Linked DNA regions of Alligator mississippiensis. The protein of the gene in region 2 purifies or fractionates together with the protein of the main gene of each other region. This does not show direct contact. Links are inferred from orthologs where the notes say so. Each region holds a gene or a part of one and is shown on either strand. Other genes may lie near its edges.

The links. Proteins that work in one complex are often made in the same cells at the same time.
Region 1: the proteins of VCP (region 2) and SVIP purify together in Homo sapiens (affinity purification with western blotting; 3 studies listed by BioGRID and IntAct, with this or other methods). This does not show direct contact. The link is inferred for Alligator mississippiensis from reciprocal best matches to the Homo sapiens genes VCP and SVIP.
Region 3: the proteins of VCP (region 2) and PPP1CC purify together in Homo sapiens (affinity purification with western blotting; 3 studies listed by BioGRID, with this or other methods). This does not show direct contact. The link is inferred for Alligator mississippiensis from reciprocal best matches to the Homo sapiens genes VCP and PPP1CC.

What each region holds. Positions count from the first base shown.
Region 1 is NC_081825.1:211,470,344-211,478,128, forward strand, and holds the start of SVIP (small VCP/p97-interacting protein), read left to right. Parts: upstream 1-4,766; 5' UTR 4,767-4,828; coding exon 4,829-4,891; intron 4,892-7,785. UniProt on the Homo sapiens protein: Negative regulator of the ER-associated degradation pathway (ERAD) of misfolded proteins. It competes with AMFR/gp78 for binding VCP/p97, and inhibits AMFR/gp78-VCP/p97 complex formation that is required for degradation of ERAD substrates.
Region 2 is NC_081826.1:300,918,651-300,926,059, reverse strand, and holds the start of VCP (transitional endoplasmic reticulum ATPase), read left to right. Parts: upstream 1-4,397; 5' UTR 4,398-4,492; coding exon 4,493-4,509; intron 4,510-7,409. UniProt on the Homo sapiens protein: Necessary for the fragmentation of Golgi stacks during mitosis and for their reassembly after mitosis. Involved in the formation of the transitional endoplasmic reticulum (tER).
Region 3 is NC_081833.1:3,270,194-3,277,081, forward strand, and holds the start of PPP1CC (serine/threonine-protein phosphatase PP1-gamma catalytic subunit), read right to left. Parts: upstream 3,020-6,888; 5' UTR 2,932-3,019; coding exon 2,877-2,931; intron 1-2,876. UniProt on the Homo sapiens protein: Protein phosphatase that associates with over 200 regulatory proteins to form highly specific holoenzymes which dephosphorylate hundreds of biological targets.

The DNA.
Region 1 (7,785 bases), on a different chromosome or scaffold from region 2:
CAAAAATGTGTTGTGTGTCTGCACCCAAAATTTACCACATTATTTCAGTAAGGCAGAGGCTCGAGGAAAACAGCTAATAAGGTTTACATTAATGTAAGATAGGGCAAGGTAGGGCAGGGTGGCACCTTAGAGACTGATTTATTCAGAAAGGCATAAGCTTTAATAGGCAACAGCCTACTTCATCAGATGCTGTTACCTATGAAAGCTCATGCCTTCCTGAGTGTGTTATTCTCCAAGAGGTCCTATATATGTGCAGGGAGGCTGCTCTGATGTGCTGTAATTCCAGCACGTTGGAGCAAATTCCATTAATCAAGTCTGCTGGAGCAAGGAGATTACCTACCAGCAGGCTCCAGAGTCATGTGTATCAGCGTCTCTGTGCTGAAAAATGGCAGCAGGACGCTTTAAACTAAAGCTCATTTGACGAGCTTTAGTTCAAAGCTCCCTGCTGCTATTTTTCAGTGGGGGGACACTGATACATGTGATGTTCCAGGTACTTTTAATTAGTGTGGCTCTTGGAGCTGCGCTAATTAAAGTGCCCCTCCCTGCCACCTCCTAGAGCCCTACCCATGTCTATAAACACTCTAAGGATGAAGTTACATGCTACTCCTAGGCCATACTAAATCTGTGCAATGTTAAGTGTTATTAGTTAGAACATGCCATGAGCAGTCGCATGTCAAAGTTTAATACTGTTTCTTGTCTGCACAGCTTTTCTTTCCCTGCCCCTAGAGTGCTGACAATCAGGAGTGTGGCTATGAGCCAGGACACCTGGGCTCCATCCCTGCTGTGGACGGAGGGGGCGCTGGGAGCATCCTAGGATGCTGGAGGACTGCAAATTGGTTGTTTTATCTCTGTGGAGCAGACTGAAGTTACCCTCACATGAGCTGGGTAGCACATCCAACCCCTTACCTGAAGTGGAGGAACTCTGAGGCACTCAGAGGGCACATAGCACAAGTTAGTCATATAGTCATAAAGAAGGAGGGCTGGATGGGACCTCTAGAGGTCACCTAGTGCAACCCCCTGCCTGAGGCAGGATCATAGATATCCAAGCCATCCTGTACAATCTATCATCTAAACTCTACATAAAAGGCTACCATCAACCCTGACACAACACAGACCTAGCACCCTATCCTGCCACAGATAAAGCAGGGGAACCACAGCAGCCAACATCCTGCTTCTATGAAATGTTGCCAATATACCCTCGAGAGCTCCCAGGTAGAGGGCCACGCTGCTCACTACAGAGGAAGGCAAAAACTCCCGCAGTCCATACCAATCTGACCGTGGGGTAAAATTCCTTCTGACCCCAAATATGGTGATCAGTCTGACCCTGAGCAGAGGGGCAACCCCCCCCCCCCGCCGGGAACCTCTGTCTTCGCTCCCAGAAGGAGCATTGACACATCCTAGTCAAAGTCCCCAACCTTGGCTGTAGCCAACACCCAGTGCCTCCAAGGGAGACTTAAAAACAGCAGACAAGGGAAGCAGGGGGGCAACCAGCAAAGCCCAGAAGCATGGGTAATACTCATGGTAAGCTGTAGGCATATATAAGCCTAGAAAGTTACTGAGGTTTAACCGGCAGATGCTTACATTTGAGGTGCCCTTAGTACAGTCTAAGCTGTCGAGCTTCTACCTAGTCCACTGGGCTCCTGGAGGGCACTAGAAATGTGATCAGTTAAGCCCCGCTGGGCACATGGCCACTGGCACTGAGCATGGCTTGCCTCAGCAGGACCCTCCGCCCCTGCCTCCCTCATGCTGCTGCTGCCTCTGGGCATCACATCACTGCCAGTGCTGCGGCTGCCCTCCTGCACAGCTTGGATCCAACCCACCAGCAGTGTTGGATTGAGATTTATTGGAGCCCTGGGCAAATAGAAAATTGGAGGCCCCCCACACCCATTATAACCATGAATGTATGGACTCCAGTGGGAGGAGGGGCCCCTTCCTGTCCTGCAGCTGCCACTGCGAAGGGCAGGCCAGGACTCCATGCCCCACCGGGGAGGCTGGATAGACCTGGTCCAGGATGGGGGTGAGGTGGCACATGCTTACCTCTCTTCCCTGCTCCCTGCCCCCCTGCCGCATCCACAGCACATCTGAGCAGGGCAAGGGCAGATGTGGGCTGCTTGCTGTGGGCTTGGGGCTCTCAGCTCTGTTGCCTCTAACCTGGGAGCCCTGCACCAGCTGTGTGCCCCCTGCCCATCCAGCAGCAGGGGGCATAACTCGTTGCCCCCACTGCTGCTGGGTGGGCAGGGGGTGCACGGCCACTGCAAGGCTTCCAAGGAAAAGGCAGCAGAGTGGAGAGCCCCAAGCCCACAGCAAGCAGCCCACATTTGCCACGTGCACAAACATGAGGGAGCACATGCTCTCCATGCCACCACCAGTGGGTGCATGCCGCAGCAGGGAGCTGTCCCCCCTCCCTCTCCGTGCCCCCTGGATGAGCCACGCATGGCTCCATTCTGCTCTCTGCAACACCTCAGAATCCATGCACCACCATGGCTGGGCAGCATGGGTGCCTCCCCCACTGGGGGGGAAGGGTCCCAGGGATGCACTTCTGGTTTCATGGCTGGTGCTTCAAGGGGTGCATGGCCAATCTCAGAGGGTGCACCCCCTATGCATCGCCAATGCTGGGCAGTGCCCCCAGCTCCTGCCCCACTCCCTCTCTCATCATGGGGACCTCGATCTGCACCACCTGCACCCCTTCCCTCTCCCATACCCTTTCCTCACTTACCTGCAGGGAGTTGCTCTCCATGCTACCGGGCTGCATTCCTGGCCATGTGCATGCATGTGGCCGCACACACATGCATGCAGTGCCCCCTGCGTCTCACTCTTGGCAGCCCCAAGCAGGACCCCTTGCAGGCTAGAACGCTGCCCATGTGCTTAGGGAAACCCACTGTTTCCCAAGAGAACCCAGGCATCAAGGGACCCCTGATTAGCAGAGGCCCCTGGGGCTGGGCCCTGCAGGCCTGCATTAATCTGCCTATGCCCACAAGGTGCCCCATGGGCTGAATCCTGTTGGTGGCCTTGAGGCGAGGGTGACACCCCTGCTCTAAGGATATTGTAATGGGTTTTTCTCTGTGACAGTACAGGATAGGATGAGGAGCAGTGGCTGCAAGCTGCAGCAGGGGAAGATTAGGTTGGAGATGGCGGGATGGTCTCTGACTAGGAGGCTGATAAAGCATTGGCATGGACTTCCTAAAGAAACTATGGACTCTCCATCCTTAAACGTTTTCAAGAGCAGGTCAGACAGACACTTTTCTGGGATGGTTTAGTCAGGGATGAACCTGCCTCCAGCAGGTAACTAGACCCATTTTGTGGGGGTCTCTTCCAGCCCTGCTTCCCTATGATGCCATAACCTCCACCCTGCCCCTTCAGGCTCCCCGCCTCTCTCTCTAGGGACTCCCTAGAGGGTTCAGGACCCTTTCATATATTCCTGCGATCTACTTTTGGGTCATTACCCATGGATTGAGAAACGCTGCACTACATGACCTCTTGAGATGCTGTCCGGCTCTACTTCTCTATTATGTATTCTGTGGTATGTATTATCTATTATGTACTATGTATTATGTATTCTGTACTATTCTGTACTATCCATTTTGTATTCTGTACTACGTATTATGTAGTGTGTACTGTATTATGTATTTTGTACTATGTACTATGTATAATATATTCTGTATTCTGTATGTGTATAATATATTCTGTAACTATGTATAATGTGCTATATTATCTATACTGTACTAGTCTGTACTATGTATTCTGTACTACATATTATGTACTATGTACTGTATTATGTATTTTTTACTATGTACTATGTATTCTGTAACTATGTATAATGTACTATGTATTAAGTATTCTGTACTATTATGTACTATGTATTCTGTACTTTGTATTAATCAGTCAGGACTCCTGGTAGAGATGATATCTTTTATTAGACCAACACTAATCTTTGTATTATGTATTCTGTACTATTCTATACTATGTACTATGTACAGGCAACCCCCGCTTAGTGCTCTTAATTGGTTCCTGAAAATCCAAGCAATAAGCGAAACAAATGCTAAGCGACACCGAAAGTATTTGATGACCCAAGATGGCGACTGCATTTGTTTTTAATGACCCAAGATGGCGACCACGAGTGTTATTGCAAAACTTGATGAGTGCTAAGTGAAACCAGGTATCAATTTAAAATGAGTGTTATAGTAAAAGAGTGCTAAGCAAAACAGCATTCAGCGGGGGTTGCCTGTATTTTGTACTATGTGTTACATATTCTGTACTATGTATTCTATACCATTATGTACTATGTATTCTGTACTGTTACGTACTATGTATTATGTATAATGTACTGTGTATTCTGTACTATGTATAATGCAACTATGTATTCTGTACTACTATGTACTATGGATTCTGTACTATTCTGTACTATGTATTATGCATAATGTCCTATGTATTCTGTGTTCCGTACTATAATGCACTAAGTAGAGCCGGACACAACGCGAAATAGAGGATGAGAATTACAGGGCAGGAATTACAGGGCTAACCAGGAAGCGCAAGTGGGGCACCTGCATGTGCCAGCAGCACTGCTGGAAAAATTCTCTGTACCCCGCACCGTGCCCCCCGCAGTCCCCGCGCCCGGCTCCGCACTGTCTGTGACTAACCCCCGGGGTTAGAGGCGCGGGCGGCCCGCGGGGCAGTGCTGGGCGGTGCCAGGCCGCGGCGGCTCCAGGGCGCCAGGTGGCGCCGTGCCCGGTGCCGGTCGGGGTGCGGGTCCCGGCGCGGGGCGGGGCGGCGCGGCGCGGGCGCTGCTCGCTCGCTGGCTCGGTGGAGCGAGCGGGCGGGGGGCAGCGGCATGGGGCTGTGCCTGCCCTGTCTAGGGGGCGCCGCCGAGGACGTGGTGGAGACGCCCGACCCGGTAAGTGCGGGGCAGGGTCCGGGCCTCGGTCCCCGCCTCTCGCCGCTGTTTATTATTTCGTGCCCCCTCCCCTCCCCCCCCATGTCAGGTGATCCCGCCCGGCTCATCCGGCCCGGCGGGACCCCCCCCCGCCCCCTCCCTCAGCGGCGGGGACCCCCCGCGCGCCTCACCTCCGTGTGGGGGTCCTGGAGGTCATTCCGCGCTGGGAAGCTGAAGGCTGTGACTCAACACGTGGCCTTGCAGGGGAGGCTGAGGGGACGGGGCTTGGTTTCAGCCCGACTGAGAGAAGCGGGGACTTGGTAGCAGCCTGCCCCTGCCTGAAGGGTGGCTGCACAGATGGGGCTGCGCCGGCTGTCTCCCTGGTGGCAGGTGACAGGGCGAGGAGCAGTGTCTCCAGTGGCAGCCAGGGGAGCTGAGGTTAGAGATATTCATCCAAAACGAGGGTGGGAAGGGACCTCGGGGGGCTCATCTAGTCAGCCCCCTGCTCAGAGCAGGACCAGCCCCAACTGGATCATCCCAGCCAAGCTTTGTCCAGCTGGGTCTTAAAAACAAGCGGGCACCTGTGCTCCTGTGCTGAATTAATCTGCTTCTCCCCTTAACCACCTTCCTGATCTCCCCGCTCCTGCCGCCCTTCCAAAAAAATAAATAAAGATCTGCTGACACCCTGGGGAGACACTTGGGTTGTGAATGACTGGAGGTCTGTCTTTCTGGGGGGGGGGTGTTTCATGTCAAGGACCCATGTTGGCAGGGGCACTAGGAATCAAAAGCTAGTGGGGGGACAGGTGTGGAAAAAGAAAGACAAGGAGGGCTCTGAGACTGTTCGCAGACCCAGGTAAGAGCGAATCAGCTGCAACAAGTCACAGGAAATTAGGGTTGGGAGGGACCTCTGGAGGTCCATCTAGTCCAACCTCCTGCTCAAAGCAGGACCATCCCCAACTAGATCATCCCAGCTGAGACTTTGTCCAGCCCAGTCTTAAAAACCTCCAGGGATGCAGAGTCCACCACTCACTAGCTTTTGATTCCTACTTCCCCTGCCAACATGGGATCCTTGACATGAAACATCTTCCCTAGAAAGCAGATGAATTAAGCAGAGGAGCACAGGTGCAGGATTATCCCAAGTGGGGTGAGCCCCCATCCCCTCTGCCAGTCCCCTCTGCAAGGAGGCAAACATGGTAAGCAATTAACTGTTTTGTGAAATGATGTGCCATTAGGGTTGCTGACAGACATGAAAAAAAAAATAGCGCTTTACCAGAAGAGGAAGCACATTAGTTTGACCTGGCTGCCCAGCCTCTGTATAGATCAGGCGTATCAGTGAGGCTTTTTGGCATTTTTATCTAAAGCTGGTTCAATCAGCTATTCACTAAAAGCACCAAAAAGCCCCACTGGAGCTCCTGATCTATACAGATGTTGGGTGAGCCAGGTCAAACTAATGAAATACCTCTTCTGGGCATGAGCTGTGCTTGGTGCAGGGGTGTACCAACCTTAATGTGCTCATTTTATTTTTTTTCATGTCTGTAAGAAGCCGCAGTTCACATAAGTTGCAGAGTCATAGAGAAGTCATAGGCCCCCTCCACACATGCAGGTAAAAATACGATGGGATCTAAGGCATGATACACACAAGCGCACCTCTTGTCATGCTGCACGTGCATGGCAGCAGGCACGATTAGGGGATCGTACATTAAATCCCATCGCGCCTTATTGCTGGAGGCAACCTTTTGCTGCTGGGTGTCCCCTCAGTTGGGGGGCTTCCAGCCATGGGGGATCACAGCAGCTGCAATCTTCAAGGCATAAGGGTGTGTGAATCCCTGCCACAATTCCTAGGGCTCAGGGGTGTGTGAAACTCCCAGGCCCTAGGGTTCACGGCTGTCGTGATCCCCCAGGACCCTGGGGTGTAGGTATATACATATACTAGGTATGGTGCACTTCTGCGGTCAGGAGGCCTGTCAGCTGATGGGGCTCCCAGCCACAAGGAAGAGAGACCCTGCTACAAGTGCAAATAAAAGTTCAGTAGCAACCAGCTATAAAGTTAGTACGCATTTTCAAGATCTAACTTTATAACTGGTTGGAACTTTTTTCTGTGTAATTAATACTTTACACGTGTAGTTGGCCTTAAGGTAATTGTGTAATTAACCATTTAATCGTGCAATACCTGTAATGTGTAGAGGGTGTTATATAGAAGTAAGACTGGAAGGGTCCTCCAAGGATGGCTTGAGTCCAAAAAGGTTGATAACTGCTGTTAGTTGTTATTCCACTTAAAAATAGTTGGTGGGAAAGTACATCTTGCTCCCTCCTCTCCTCCCTCCCTCCCTCCAGACCCCCAATTTCATCTTGAGTTTCATGGGACATGTATCAGTCACTTGAGCTCATGCTACAAACCTTTCATATGTTTTTGCCATCAACATCTATGATTCTTGATGGGGAGATGATAAAAATCCTGGAGGTTGAAAAAAACTAAAATGTTTCCTAACTGAAAAATAGATATTTAAGAAAAAAATCCATTTATACATGTACTTTACCATTAAATAGATTTTCTTAAATTGGTCAGTTTAAGGGAACCTCCCTTTAAATATTTGTTGTTAAAGCTTAGAAAGCTGTTACTATTATTTTAAACTGTTGGCAAATGTGCTATGGTCCTTTGCTCCATACTTTTCTTTCATTTATTGTATGATTGCAACCTCACATCATAAATCAAACAGAACAAAACCAGTGGAGTAGATCTGATCTGCTCAAAAGTACCTACTGCAGGATGAACATTTTGGAGGGATGACTTTTCAAGGAGAGGGTATTTGTGTCTATTTTTCGGTTGCTCTGTGAGACACCTGCTACATAGAAGCCTTACTGAAATTAAGTCATTTCACATGAGGCATCAGAGATCCATCAAACAGTAATGAGTC
Region 2 (7,409 bases):
GACAAGCTGCACATCATCCCCATCTCCATCCCCAGTCAGCCTGACCAGCAAACACCTTCCATAAGGAAAATTTAGCAAGTTTGGGGATGGGAAGGGGTGGGGATGGCTGTGCAAGGTGTGGGATAGTCTGATATCGGGGTGATACGGCTGGGACGGGAACCCCCAGATCAGGATGTGGAGCAAGCTCCTGGTACACAACAGCTTAAGACATTCAAAATCCAGGTGGGAAGTAGGACGACATTGGTTTTAGGCCTGTATAGAAGGAGAGTTAGAAATGACGGGGACCTGGTACTAGCCCAGGGGAGCCTACATGGTGCACTTTGTCACGGGCACACGTGTGTTAACGCCTTGTGCAGCAGATCACAAGTGTGTTATGGCCGTGCCTTGAGACAAGAAACCTGGCTGAGCCTTTGCCACCGAACCGAGCCCGTGGTAATTTAAGAGAGGACTGGTGTTGGGATCTCCTGGCTGTGACGCAGCCCGAGACTTCGATAATGCCCGGTGAGGACAGCGATGAGCGAGCCCCTGCCTCTCCGAGCAAATTAGTCTCTGAGGTGCCACCCTGCCCTGCCTTCTGCTTGGCAAGCCGTGGCGCAAAACCAGCCCATGTTCCAGCAGGGCGTGTGTCTGTCCCTGCCCTTAGATGTGCCAGCACCACGGAGAGAAACCGGCCGGTGCCCGGAGCAGGGCCAGCTGTCTTGGTTCTCCCGCTGGGCACCTCTCCAGGCCAGGACCTGGCAGGATGCTTCCCTGTGGGGGCTCTTGTCCGGCCCGGCTTTCCTCGCCCCTGCACGCAGGGAGGAGAGGCCTGGCCCAGGCACCCTGCGGGGCAAGGCGTAGAGCTGGGGGGCGTCAGCTGTGAAACACTCGGCCAACACCCCGGGGCTGTTGTGCCAGGGCTCTGTGTGCGTAACGGTGCCACGGTGCCGGATGGAGGGCATCCGGGGGCAGTCTGCAGGGCAGCGTGCAGGGTCTCTCCATCCCGTGCGGGTGTGTGTCTGTGTGTCCCACGGATAGTGGGGGGGTGTCACTCCTACTGTTAGTGGGGTGTGTGTGTCACCCCCACTGATAATGTGGGGGGAATGTGTCACCCCCAGTGATGGTGGGTGGGTGGGTGTGTGTGTGGTTGTGGCTCTCAGGGACAGTGGCGTGTGTCTGTGTATGTTCCCACTGACAGTGCTGCACGGGGGTGTTAGTGTGTGCATCTCCCAGGGACCGTGGGGTGCGTGTGTGTCAGTCCCACTGATGGTGTGTGTGTGTGAAAGACACTCCCCTGCCCCACAGCTGGCTGGGCCGCCTGTGCTGCAGGGCAGGAGGTGTCGGCAAGTGCATCCTCCTCCACATTGCCCCCCGGTGCAGTGGCACTGCCAGGCCCCCATCACGCTGGGCACTGCCCGAACCCCAGGGCTGGCGGGGTGCTACGCTGAGCTGCTCCCAGCGTGAGCGAGGTGGTGGAGAGGACCCAGGCTCCCTGAACCCGTCCGCGAGGCCGTGTGGCACCTGGCTGGTGACGGCACCATGTGGGAGCGGCTTGGCTGGGACGTGGCGTGGGCTCGTGGGAACAGCCAGCAGGCACCTGGCAGCCTCGGGGAGCTGGCACGCACACGCCTGGTCTGCGCTGCCATCTGCCAGGCAGACAGCAGTGTGTCACAGCAGCGCCCATGGCTTGTCACGCCGAGAACGCGGCCCAGGGACAGCACCTGGCAGAGGGGAAGTAAGGGGCTTGCTGCTCCCCAGCTGGCTAGTGCCAGGGCATCCCGGCTGGGGGTGGCACCAAGCAGGACTGGTCTCAGTGCGGGAGACGACAGGACAAGGAGCAATGGGCACAAGCTGCAGCAAGGGAAGTTGAGGTTGGATATTAGGAAAAACTTCCTCACTAGGACGGTGGCGAAACCAGCTCTCCAGAGAGGCACCGACCTGCCTCGTCCCCAGCCCTGAGGACGATGACTCCAGGATACATCTGAGCACCCCGGCCCGGGGGAGTCTCTGCGCAAGGTCTTGCAGACTGTACCAGGCCCACGTCTGAACTCAGTCAGTTGAGTTTCCTTTGTCTCTCGTGGCCAGGGCTCTTCCAGACTCCACACCTTTCTTGCAGCTCTTCTCTGAGCCCCGCTCAGTTTATCCATATCCCTCCTGTGGGGCTGGTACCAGAACTGTGCCCCGGGTCTGACTGGTAATGGTCTCACCGATACCACATCCGCGCCCTTCCCCTGCTTGCACCTCAACGGCTTAATCTGTTCCTTGCTGCGCTGGCAGCCCCAGCGCTCCTTGCTTATGAATCACGGTCCCCAAATCCTTTTCAGTCGCTGCCCTCGAGGAAGCTGAACTACAGCCCTTGCTCCTGGATGTGCACGTGTGTTTGTCCATGTTCAGACAAGGAGCTCAGCTCCCCGAGCAATCCGGGTTGGGCTGCACAGCTGCCCAGTTACCATTTTTAAACATCAATTTACCTTGTCTCTAAGTTTAATGAGCTATTATTTTCTTCTGGAATAGGGTGAATGGGGGACTGATCTGTACAGGGCTGGACTAGCATCTCCCCACTGGGTGAAAATGATTTCCCAGCTACTTTTTAAGTCCACTGGTTTATAATCGAGGTACTGTGAGCTGCCTTGGAATCGCAGAGCAGGAGGGTGGAAGGGAGCTCAGGAGGTCACATCCAGTCCAACCCCGGCTCCAAGCAGGACCAGCCCCAGCTACATCATCCCAGCCAGGGCTTTGTCTACCCGGGTCTTCAACACCTCCAAGGATGGAGACTCCTCCACCTCTCTAGGGAGCCTGGTCCAGTGCTTCACCACCCTCCTTCTGAGAGAGTTTTCCTTTATATCCAACCTCAACTTCCCTTGCTGCAGCTTGAGCCCATTGCTCCTTGTCCTGTCGTCTGCCCCCATGGAGAACAGCCCAGCTCCATCCTCTTTGCACCCCCCTGCAGGGAGGTGAAGGCCGCCGTCAAATCCTCCCTCGGTCTTCTCTTCTGCAGACTCAATCAGCCCAGGTCCCTTGGCCTCTCCTCACCAGTCCTGTCCTCCAGCCCCCAACCATTTCCATTGCCCTCCACTGGACTCTCTCCAGTGTGTCCACAGCCTTTCTGTAGTAGGGCCACAGCTGGACACAGGACTCCAGATGTGGTCTCCCTGGTGCTGAATAGAGGGGAAGGAATCACTGCCCTCCATCTGCTGGCAGCGCTCCTACCGATGCAGCCCAGGACGCCGGTAGCCTTCTTGGCACCAAGGGCACACTGCTGGCTCCTGTCCAGCTTCTTGTCCCCTGTCCCCCCAGGGCCTTTTCTAAAAAGCTGCTGCCCAGCCCGTCACCCCAGCCTGCACCGGTGCAGGGGTGCAGGACTTTGCACTTGTCCTTGTTGAACCTCATGCGATTCCTCTTGGCCCAATCCTCCAGTGTGTCGAGGTCTCTCCGAATCCCAGCATTGCCCTCCAGCGTATCTACTGCTCCCCCCAGCTCGGTGTCGTCTGTGAACTTGCGGAGGGTGTGCCGCATCCCATCTTCCAGGTCACTGATGAAGATGTTGAAGGAACCCGGGCCCAGGACCGACCCCGGGGCGCTGCACTGGTGTCCGTCTGCCTCGACTCGGCACACGCTGGCTTTTCACACCCCGCACGGCTTGCCCTGCCCTGCGCCTTGCAGGAGTCGAACGCAGGAAGCTGCCAGTCTCTTTGCGAAGCCGACGCGTCCCCACAGACAGCGGCAGGAGTAGCCGCGCTTGCCGACGTGCCGTGACGTGTGCTCCCCGCCGTTGAGTGATGCCTGCCCGTGGCCCACAACTGCTCTTCCACCGTGTTGTGCAGAAGCGACATCCCTTGGCGCTGCCACCGCCCTGTCCCTGCTCCCCAGCGCAGGGCCGCAAGGCACAACCCCTTTGCCGTGTGTCTGAGCACCCTGGACAGCCGGTTCAGTGCCAGGGGCAAGGGCCATAAGCACCCTGGGTGCAAGAAGGGGTGCACACCCCTCAGCCTGTGCAAGCCCCTGCCCCTGCATGGCCCTGCTGCACCCCTGCCCTGGGCCCTCGAGCCCCTGCAGCACGTGTCTCCCTAGAAGGATCAGCAGGCCTGTCAATCATCGCGCCGCCTTCCCTCATTGGCTGACTCCCTGGGCAGCAGCCAATGGAGCGGGGCTCACTAGGCAGAATGACGAAAAGGGCGGCCCCCACGGGCCGATTTTTCCCATTGGCGCATTTTTCCCATTGGCCGATCCGCGCCGCGTTGCCGGGCAGAACAACGCACCTGGCTCCGCGCGCACCCATTGGCGGCGCGGGACCGGGAGCCGTTGGATGATTGGCTCTTTTTTCCCATTGGCGGAGGCGCCCCGGCCCCGAATTTCCGATTGGGCGCGGCCGCCGGTTGCTAGGCAGACTGCGGCGGGCGGAGCTTCCCCCGCCGATGAGTCGGCGCTGAGGCGCAGTCAGAGCCGAGCGCCCGCAGCTGCCGCCGCCAGAGCCCGAGCCCATCCCTGCCTGCCGCCGCCCGCCACCGCCGCCATGGCCTCGGGATCCGAGTGAGTGCAGGGCCACCCCTAGGCCTCTCCCCGCGCCCCATTCTGAGGGGCCCCCGCGCATGCGCACTGCCACGCGCACCCCGTTCTGAGGGGCCCCCGCGCATGCGTACTTCCCCCGCACCCCGTTCTAGGGGGCCCGCGCGCATGCGCACTCCCCCCTCCCTGCACCCCGTTCCGAGGGGCCCCGCGCATGCGTAGCGAGGGCCGAGGCCTGGGCCCGATCCCGCTGTGTCATGCAGGCCCGGGAGGGGGGGCGGGCCCGGCGCTGCTCCGCCCCCAGGTGGGGGAGGGGCGTGCGGCCTAGGCCTTGGCCTGGTGTGCGTGTCCCACGGCCTGAGCCTGCTCCTGCTTCCTGGGGGGTGCAAGGGATGGTTTTGGCCCACGCTGAAGCCACCCCCCTGCTCCAACTCATCCTCCTTTGTCTGCCGGGGCCTCAACCCCCCCAAGGGTGGAGCCTGCACCCCTCCTCGGGGGAAACCCCTTCCTCATTTAACCTCGACTTTCCTTGCTGCAGCCGAAGCCCATTGCTCCCCTGTCCTGTCCCGCGCCGCGCCGCGCTCTTTGCAGCCCCCCAGCAGGCTGCCGTTCGAGCCCCGCTTTGGTCCTCGGACTTCAATAAATGTTAGGGGTTCGCCCGGCCGGCGCCCCTAGACCAGCTTCGGGGGGGAAGCCGCGTCGCGTGCGCGGTGTTTGTGTAAATATAGCCTTCTCCGTGGAGCAGCGAACGGGCGCCCGGCGGGAGCGATGCGGTCGAATCGGTCGATGCGAAACGGTTTACCGGCACGGAGAGGTCGAAACTCGTGTCAGGTTCGTTACGGAAAGCCGGCCTCCGCCGGCTCGGATACGACGTTGTCCCGTCTCCGTTCGCCGGGCGACGTCGCTGTCAGGAGACCGGCCGACCGGCGCTGGAAACGTCTCTTGTGTCCCCCGCACGTGGTCGCGCTGCGAACCGTACCGCAGCGCAGCCTGGGTTGCGTCACCTACGGGGTAAAGCAACAGCTTTACCACGGGGCAGATGATCGGCGGCATCATCGTTAAGTCTTTTTTTTTTCCCCTTCTCTTTTTGGCAGACAGAGCTTCCCTTGTAAAGGAAGGGACGGGGGTCTCTGAATGGGGAAACGCGGGGTTTAGGGCTGGGACCGTTCTGCCCAGAGCTGGGATCGGGCACTGGTTGGACTGCGCCGCTCGGGGGGTTACGGCCGGACCCCTGGACGGCGCTAGGGAGAGGGATGGGCGCGTGCCGTGCGCGCTACGCTTCGGACCTACGCATCTCTAAAACCAAAACGGCACGCCTGTCGCAGGCCTCCACGAGAAAAGAAAGCGACGATTCGTGCGTCGGCACGGGGCTTTTTGGAGCTGTCAAGCTCTCGGTCCCTCTGATTCTCCTCTCTGGGTGAAGCAACGTTTTCACTTTCGCAAGAAGCCATGATGCGACCCGCCTGACTTCTCACTTCCTTTCTGTGCGCCCATTCATCCTCCACCGCATTTCTGAGCTGAGGTGGCTTGCAGCTGGCCCCGTTCGTCTGGATGAACACGTGCCAGCATTTGGCATCCTCTCCAACTGTTAGTGCACCCAAGCCTTTCGCTCGCTGTGTGAGCTGCCGTGCGCCCCGTAACCTGCTTCGTCTGGCTGGTAGCGTCTCTTCTCTCTGGATTGTGCAAGTTCAAAGTCCTTCAGTGTGAAAACTCTCTTCCTCTGATGAATTAGCTCATGTTGACTCAAGTTAGGTGTCACCTGCCAGCGTGTTGCTCAACCCCCGGTGCGCTGAATGATACTTGAGCCTTCTCACAATCCTTCCCAAGTTTTTCATTTCTCATCGCTGTCTTGTCTCTGAGCTTCAACTCGCTGCCTGTTTCCTTTTCTGTTTTTGTAACGTATACGCGATGCCGGCCCCACAGTACCAACCCCAGACCCCCGCAGCCAGCCTTTGTGTCCTAAGAGACAGGCTGTGATTTGCAGTGGTGCCTTGGGTTGCTCCAGTAGATCGAGTCGTATCAGAGGGTCCTCGAGTGTACGTGCTCTGTACAGGGGGGGCATGACTTGCATTCAGGACTCCTCCCTGGTTGGAGAGGACTGTATCCCTTCTGTTGCAGAACTTGTGCTGGCTTTGTTCCCTGCGGTGATGTCACTTCGCAGCGCTCTCCATTAGCCAGCCTGAGGCTTGCCATCGATCGCCTCAGTACCACAGCGAGCTTCTTTGGTTTCTGACTTACAGGATCTCTCTTGGCTCCATCAAGTTCGTGGCTCTAAAGTTTAGCCGCTCTGAACTTCCCATCCTCCAGAGGAGGTGTGGCTCATGGAGAGCCTGCATCTCATTAGCTCACCTGTTGCTTCACCTGATGAGCTTAGCTGGCTCCGTAGCTTGCACATCTTGGGTTTCTTGTTTCGCTGTGTTACGATGGTCAGGACTGCCTGGGTGGGCTGCTGCTGCAATCAGTCCCATCTACAGTCACAACCAGCAGCCTCCCTATTTCTAATGAACGTCTGTCTGGGAATCGTGTGTGGCAGGTTCAGAGCAGCGCGTTGACACTCCTCCCTTACCTGGAGAGTTGAGAGGAGCAATCCAGTTATGAAGGAGCCGAAACACGCTCTGGGAAAAGTGACTTGTCCAGAGCTGCCCACACAGAGGCTCCTGCTTCCTGGTTCAGTAGGGTTTTTCCTTTTAGAATAGCTCTGCCCCTTTCTCCTTGCTGAGTCCTGCCTCTTACTTCCTAATGCTTTGCTCAGGCCAGCTTCCCAAACTGTTTCTAGATGGGCCAGCTGCCTTCATGTTCATCCTGTGAGAGTCTTTCTGAAGCATCAGGGTAGGGGGTCACTACCTCATTCGTTATCTGCTTCATCATCGCATTGGTGTGACTCTCCGGAGACCTCGCACCTGTCTGTCGCAGTAAAATATCTC
Region 3 (6,888 bases), on a different chromosome or scaffold from region 2:
AAAAATACAAGCTGAATGTTAGACAAAGTACGTTTCTGTTTTTGTCAATCTTGTATATTTTGAATGTGCAAATATAATCTGATCCAAGATTACGCAGGCATCATAGAAAACTGCATAACTAAATTCAACTAGTGTTACAATCTAGATTTTCATAAAAAAGCTATCATGACAAAAGCTGGGGTTTGTTTCTTGAGACAGAAATAACAGCTACATTATTGGCAAATATTATTTTTAAAATAGTAGGTTACTCCCAGTTTTCATCTTCCACTTAGTCGTTTTACTGTGCTTTAACAATTAAAGTAAATGTGTCCTAGTTATGTTACTCTAGTCTTACGCTATTTGTCTGAGACCTAAAGTGTATCATAAATACCAAAAACAATGTTTTATGGCCCAGCACTTTGATGTGAAGAGTGCCATGAAGTTTCTTCACCAACTTTAGGTTTAATTAGCTGTTAAAGAAAGATGTTTAGCTTCAAACTACCCCATTCATATCTTTAAAGTTTATTAACAGATTTATCTAGAATCACTACCGATTGCCTACAAGAATGCATGAGTATGTTGTCTGGGATCAAACATGTGAAATGTCTTGTTACTAAACAGAGTGCTTTGTAGCATTCACGGTGATGGACTATGACATTTAGTTAAGGGAGAACCCACTCTGAAGGCACACACATCTAAGGAAATCCAATTTTGGGGTGTACCATAGTGTGTACACCCAAATGAAAACTAGCAGTTGCGTGAAAGTTCAGTCATGCTACCAAAACTATAGTTATAATTGGAGGAGGAATTTGCTCTGAGAACAAAGATTGTTTTTGAAGAGGAAGTGGGGAAGGATGTGATAAAAACAAATTAAGAAATAGCCACTGAAAGAAACAGAGTATAAAGAGTATTTACATCAACTTTTAAAAAAGTTGAACTTAAAGTATAAAAAAAAAGTTTGTCAACTACAAAGCAATGCCCATGCTCCTCTCTAAATTTATGGGGAGGGGGGGACAATCAAAACTATAGACACAGTGTATTTTGCAAAACACAATTTACCTTGTAAATCTACATAATTTGCTGGTTGGGCCTTTGGGGAGGTCGGAGTGTGAAGGTTGCTCTCTCAAAACGGTCTGTAAGAGCTTGCTAACAAGACCCTTCAATATAAGCACTTGCTGGAGCTTGTTTGAGCCCAATAACCTCCTGCCTGTGGCAAGGGACCGGACTTGAGGATCTTACAGGTCCCATCCCGATTCTAAAAAAAAAAAAAATCAGTTTTTTTCCTTGCATTTAAAACAAATGCTACTTGACCAAATTCAAAAAGAGGTCTTTTGGTTCTCCATTTGTAAAAAACATAATAAATACAAACAAGAATCCCATGTTATTGAGGTTATGCACGGAACAGCAATCAAGCCATGACAAGTAATTGCTGTGTAGCTTATAACACAAGTGGGTGTTAATATGCAATATACTAAACAACCATCAAGAGGGGCCTGCACCTCATCTTATACGAGGTCCCTTCCAGCCCGAACGTCTAGGAAGTCTATAACACTAGTTGATGTGAGAACTGCCATTAATATTTATAAGCATTCATATTTCTGTTCATACTTGGAGACAGTAACAACAAGGCTATTCAAGACATCCAAGGAACATTTGGACACTGATCTTGGTGGGATCCTTTGACCCATGAGGCAGGAAGTCAGCTGGGGGTCAAGAAATATTTGGACATTTACCTTGCTGGGATCCTTTGACCCCCAGCTGACTTCCTGGCCCTGGGGTCAAGAAATATTTGGACGCTGATCTTGCTGGGATCCTTTGACCCCCCCCCAGCCAGCTTCCTACCGCTGGGGGTCAAGAAACATTTGGACGCTGATCTTGCTGGGATCCTTTGACCCCCCCCAGCCAGCTTCCTACCGCTGGGGGGTCAAGAAACATTTGGACATTTACCTTGCTGGGATCCTTTGACCCCTAGCTAACTTGCTGGCCCTGGGGTCAAGAAACATTTGGACGCTGATCTTGCTGGGATCCTGTGACCCCGACCGACTTCCTGCCCCGGGACAGAGGGCTGGACCCAGCAATATTACGAGGTCCCTTCCAGCCCCACCGTCCACGAAAATACTATTTCGAGCCTTAGCAAAGAGTCGAGGGTTACCCGAAACAACTCTAGTTACGACCGCTGGAACGGCAGGAATACAGGGTTCAAGTTCGGCGGCTCTATTGAGGCATCTTGTTAGCGAGCTCGCGGAGAGAGCAACCTTCCCGTGGACAGCCCAGCCAGCGACGAGACGCGTTACTAGTTCAATACGACTGGCTTTTCCAAGACGCCCACCACCACGGACGTTTCGGGCGAGGAAAACGCGGCCAAACACGAACGATAATCAAGACTCGCGCGCAAAACAACTTCTGAACGACTTGCTGCCCTTTCCCGGGTCCGTTTGGGGCTCAGTCAAGAGTCAGAGACCTACTGCAGCCCCCCAGCACTGGCACGGAGGAGGGGGGAAGACCCCCAAGACGGATGTATTTCTTATTCTTTGTCCCTACAGCACCCCCACCCCGCTTTTGCATCACGCAGGTCGTTTATTTCCAGAGAAATGCTGCAAAGCAGCAAGAGAGGGCAGCCCGGGGGGCAGGTTTCTCCCACCTGGCTCCAAACCCTCGGGGACTTTTGGCAGCGCAAGGGGGGGGGAAGGGGGAAGTTAAACCCCGGCGGGCCGGGCGGCGGGACACGCGGCTCCTTCCCCGCACGCGCAGTGCCGTGCCGTGCCGTGCCGTGCCACACGAGCCCCGAGCTGCGGCAGGGGCCCAGCGGCGCGCCTCACACCCCAATATTTGGGTCCCCTGAGGGTGGGGGAGGGGGCAGGAACGCGCGCGGGAACCACCCCCTTCCTCCTCCTCACCCTCCAGCAGCCGTTGGATGATGCTGTCGATGTTGAGCTTGTCGATATCTGCCATGGCCCCCGAGCGTCCCCTGCTCGCCCCGCGCAGCGCCGGCGCCGAACAAAATGGCCGCCGTCTCCTCAGCTAGCTGTGGCGGCGCACGGATCCCAGGCGCAGCGCCGCCCGGCCGGGACGCCTTTATAGGCAGAGCGGCGGGAAGAGCGTCCGAAGCACCGGATCCTTCCGCCAGAGGGGCGGGGCGAGGGGCGGAGGGACTAGGGCCGCCCAGCAGTCGCCTCAGGGCGGGTGTAAGAGGCGGAGTGTGTCGGTTTTGCTCCGTTCCTTGCATCCTGCACTGGTGTGGGGTGACAACTGCGGCTTCGTGCAATAGCCCTCCCGGCTGGACACGCCTGGGAGTTGGAGCGGGTCAGTTTAGCGCGGGTTAAACTGAGCCATTAAGGAGGAAGTGGAGGAGGGTGGAAGGCCTGTCTCTCACAGTGGACCCCTGCTTCCAACAGCTGGATGTGCCCCTGGAGCAGCTCCCAGTGGACATTGCACGTCCTACCCCCTTCCTTCTCCAGCCCCCGGCCACCCAGGACCCCCACCCTGGGACAGGGGTGGGGGTGTATAGATTCACTGATACTATTTGACTCCACAGCCCCAACCTGGGCAGGGAAAAGCAGCCGGGGTTGGATGATGGCGCTTGTTGCGGGACTGGGGGGTTGGCGGTTGCATCTGTGAAATGGGTGTATCGACGGGACGGGCGCAGTCTGGAGCTGAGTTCGGTGATACAGCCCAGCCCCCGCCAGCCAGCAGGACTTGTCCAAGGGGAGAAACCACCTAAAAAAAATCAATTGTGAAACAGCAGGGGAGCGCGAAGCGGGGCCTAGTCGATTCGGATTCAGTCCGAATCGGGGGTCGGCGATTCGATTCTTTGACGCGTATTGCTTTCCCGGATTCGATTCATCCGAATCTGAAGATTCAATGCTGATTTGGAGAATCGGCGATTCGGACATAGACGCAGCTGATTCGATTTAGAGGAGATTCGACCCGATTCGGTGGCCGAATCTCAGAATCCGAATCGAATCGGAGAACCCTTTAATCTCTCCCAATCAAGGTGGGACCCTCCGAGTCAATTCGAACATACAGACAGCTTTAAATGTTTTTTCTAGGTGCCTCGAGGTAGCAGGCAGCTCGTGATCGCTGCGATGCTGGGGCGCGTGGAGTGTCCCACGGGAGTTGGGCCCCCACGTGCTCAACAGTGAACCCGGAAGTGGGCCAGAAGCCCCCCCGCATCCTCCCCGACTCGGCAATCGGCCATGGGAGGCCCCTGGGTGCACGCCGTGGGGGCGTGGGGGGGCCCCAGCACACTCCCCAGCAGGACCGGAAGTGAACCAGAAGCACTTCTGGTCCACTTCTGAGTGTGCTGGGGAGCCCCCCACGCTCCTGTAGGACGCCCCAGCATCACAGCGTTCACGAGCCACCTGCCACCTACACGTATGTAGAAAAAACATTTAAAGTTGTCTGTTTGAATCAATGCAGAGGGTCCCAATTGGATTCAGAGACATTAAAGAGTCCTCTGATTTGATTCGGATTCTGAGATTCGACTGCTGAATCGGGCCGAATTTCCTCTGAATTGAATTGGGAAACAAAGCTTTGCACAGCCCTACAAAACAGCTGCCCATGCCGACTCACTTAGAGTTCGTCGTGCTGGGGCTTGCCTTTCTTGGGGAAACTGTAGTGAAATCAAGTTGGGCTGGCACTTGAAATCCGGTCGTTATTCTGCATTCACTCCCTGCGCGGGGTAGTGGATTTGTGCACTTAGTGAACTGAGCTAAACCACATGCAAGCACTCCCCAGACAGAGCTATTCCACATGAGCCCTTCTGTGTGAACACTTTTATTTGAAGCTAAAAGAGCCTTTGTGCAGAATAGCCTCCATACTTTTAAATTCTCACCCTGGCTGATTTCACAGTAGCTTCCCTTGTGCAGACAAACCTTTATACATGTGAGTAACTTTATGCCCATGAACCTCATCGTGGAGCTGTCAGCATTTGCAGGATGCCTGCAAGGTGCTCAGAAATCCTCTGGAGACGACCACAGCAATCAACGTGCTCGTTTTTAGATAAGTTAGGTTTATTGCAGGGATTTCTTGTTTTATTCTGCATGCAGCAGCAACAAAATTGCAAGGCAGAGGCATACACAGTTAAAATCAGCCCAGAGATTGGAAAAAAAAAAATTACATTTGCAGGGAGTTGGCCTGTGCTGGCCTCTACTCTTGCTCACTTCTTTGCATCTCTGATTGAATATTGTTTAATTGGTTTATTTATTCTGAGTTTAATTTACAGGGATGACTGTGTCAGCTCAATTCCCGCCTCTCCTGCTCCTTTCTCTTGTGAATGCTGGATGCCTCACACTGACAGTTATATAATAATCATAACAGCTCATTATCTTGGTCAGGCTAGGGCAAAGTTCAGATTCACTGTGGTGATAAAGCAGGAGACGTGCCATCTCAGCACACCTTGGGCACTTGTACATGGTGTACAATAGGAAAGAAGCCAATAAGGAAAAAGCCTTTGCAGTAGTATAGATATGGACCATCTGTAGCACAGGCATTTGCCAATTATAAAATGCGACTTTATACTTTCCCAAGTGACTGCTTATGGTAATGAATGCACCTGAGCCAAATGCTAATCTCCATCCTACTGGTATCAATCCAAAGTAACCCCCTCAAAGAGAGTGAGGTTACTCCAGATTGATTTGTGTGACTCCATTCATAAGTTTACAGCTGTTTTCATGCTGCTCCTTCCCTTGGAACAGCTTCTTTATTCTTGCCTACTGTATGCCTTCCCTAACTGTCCCTGCTTTAATTCAGAGGGCCAAGTTTTGACATGCTAACTTGCCTTAACTCAACAGAGGTATGCCAGAAGAGGCCCTATACTTCCAGGGAATCCTTCCCATTTTGTCTTGCCAGTAATGTCTCTAGATCTTCTTGTAGTATTTCAGCATTTTCCATGGGCACGTATATTGTATCGGGTGCGCAGGTGTTCCTCTGGTCAGTTAAGTAGGTAATGAACAGTGACTAGAAGGTGTGTGTGTGTGTGTGTAAAAACCTGTACATATAAAACCTATATATATATATATATATATATTATATGACACATTTTTAACAACAAAACTTATAATTTTCTCTTGCTTCTCAGCTTTTTGGCTCAGGTCAAGTGCCTCAACCTCTTGTGGACTAAGATCAAATGGGGACATCTGAATCCCAGGATCTCTGGGCTTGGGCCTGCGCGTAGGATGCCTGCCCATGGATTTGAGAGTATCTGAAGTCCTGGGGTGAGAGTCAGGGATAGAGGATGCTTGCTGGCTGTAGCTCTGTACATGGTGTTTAGAATGATTGGGTTCTGCCTGCTCAATCTATATGGTTTTTGGAACTACTGAGTTCTGCTCAATTGATATAATTTGGAACTGATCTGGCTGATTTGACCTGGAACATGGACTATATTATTGTTGTTGTTAATAATAATAATAACAACAACAAATTATCATTTTGTCTCCCTTGGGGTTATCATTCAAGGTTTGAGCATCTTTTTTGAGGTTCTGAGTCCTTTTGACTTACGGATTTCCATAGGTAATGGCGGGGCTGAGCACTGTGCAGAAACAGTCTTTGAGGGCTCTGTCCTGCAATCATGGAAGTCAATGGGACCACTCACACATGTGAAAGTTGTTCGTGTGTGTTCAGGATTGGGCCTTTGTACTCTGAGTCAAACCATGTGCAGTGCAGAGCATCGTCAATTCCCTGTGGTCTTGGTGGAGGATAGGGAGCATCCTTTTCAGAATCAGACCCTTTTCTGCCAAGTCCTTTCTTACATTTACATTGCTACACGAACCTTGTTTTAATAACAATACATAATTCATATGGATCGAATGCATGCTGAACTACAGTTATTAAAAAGCCACTTTAAAATTAAATATTTTTAAATGAGCTAATTTTTCTTTGCAGAAAATGGCAACGTCCCCCAACAACAGT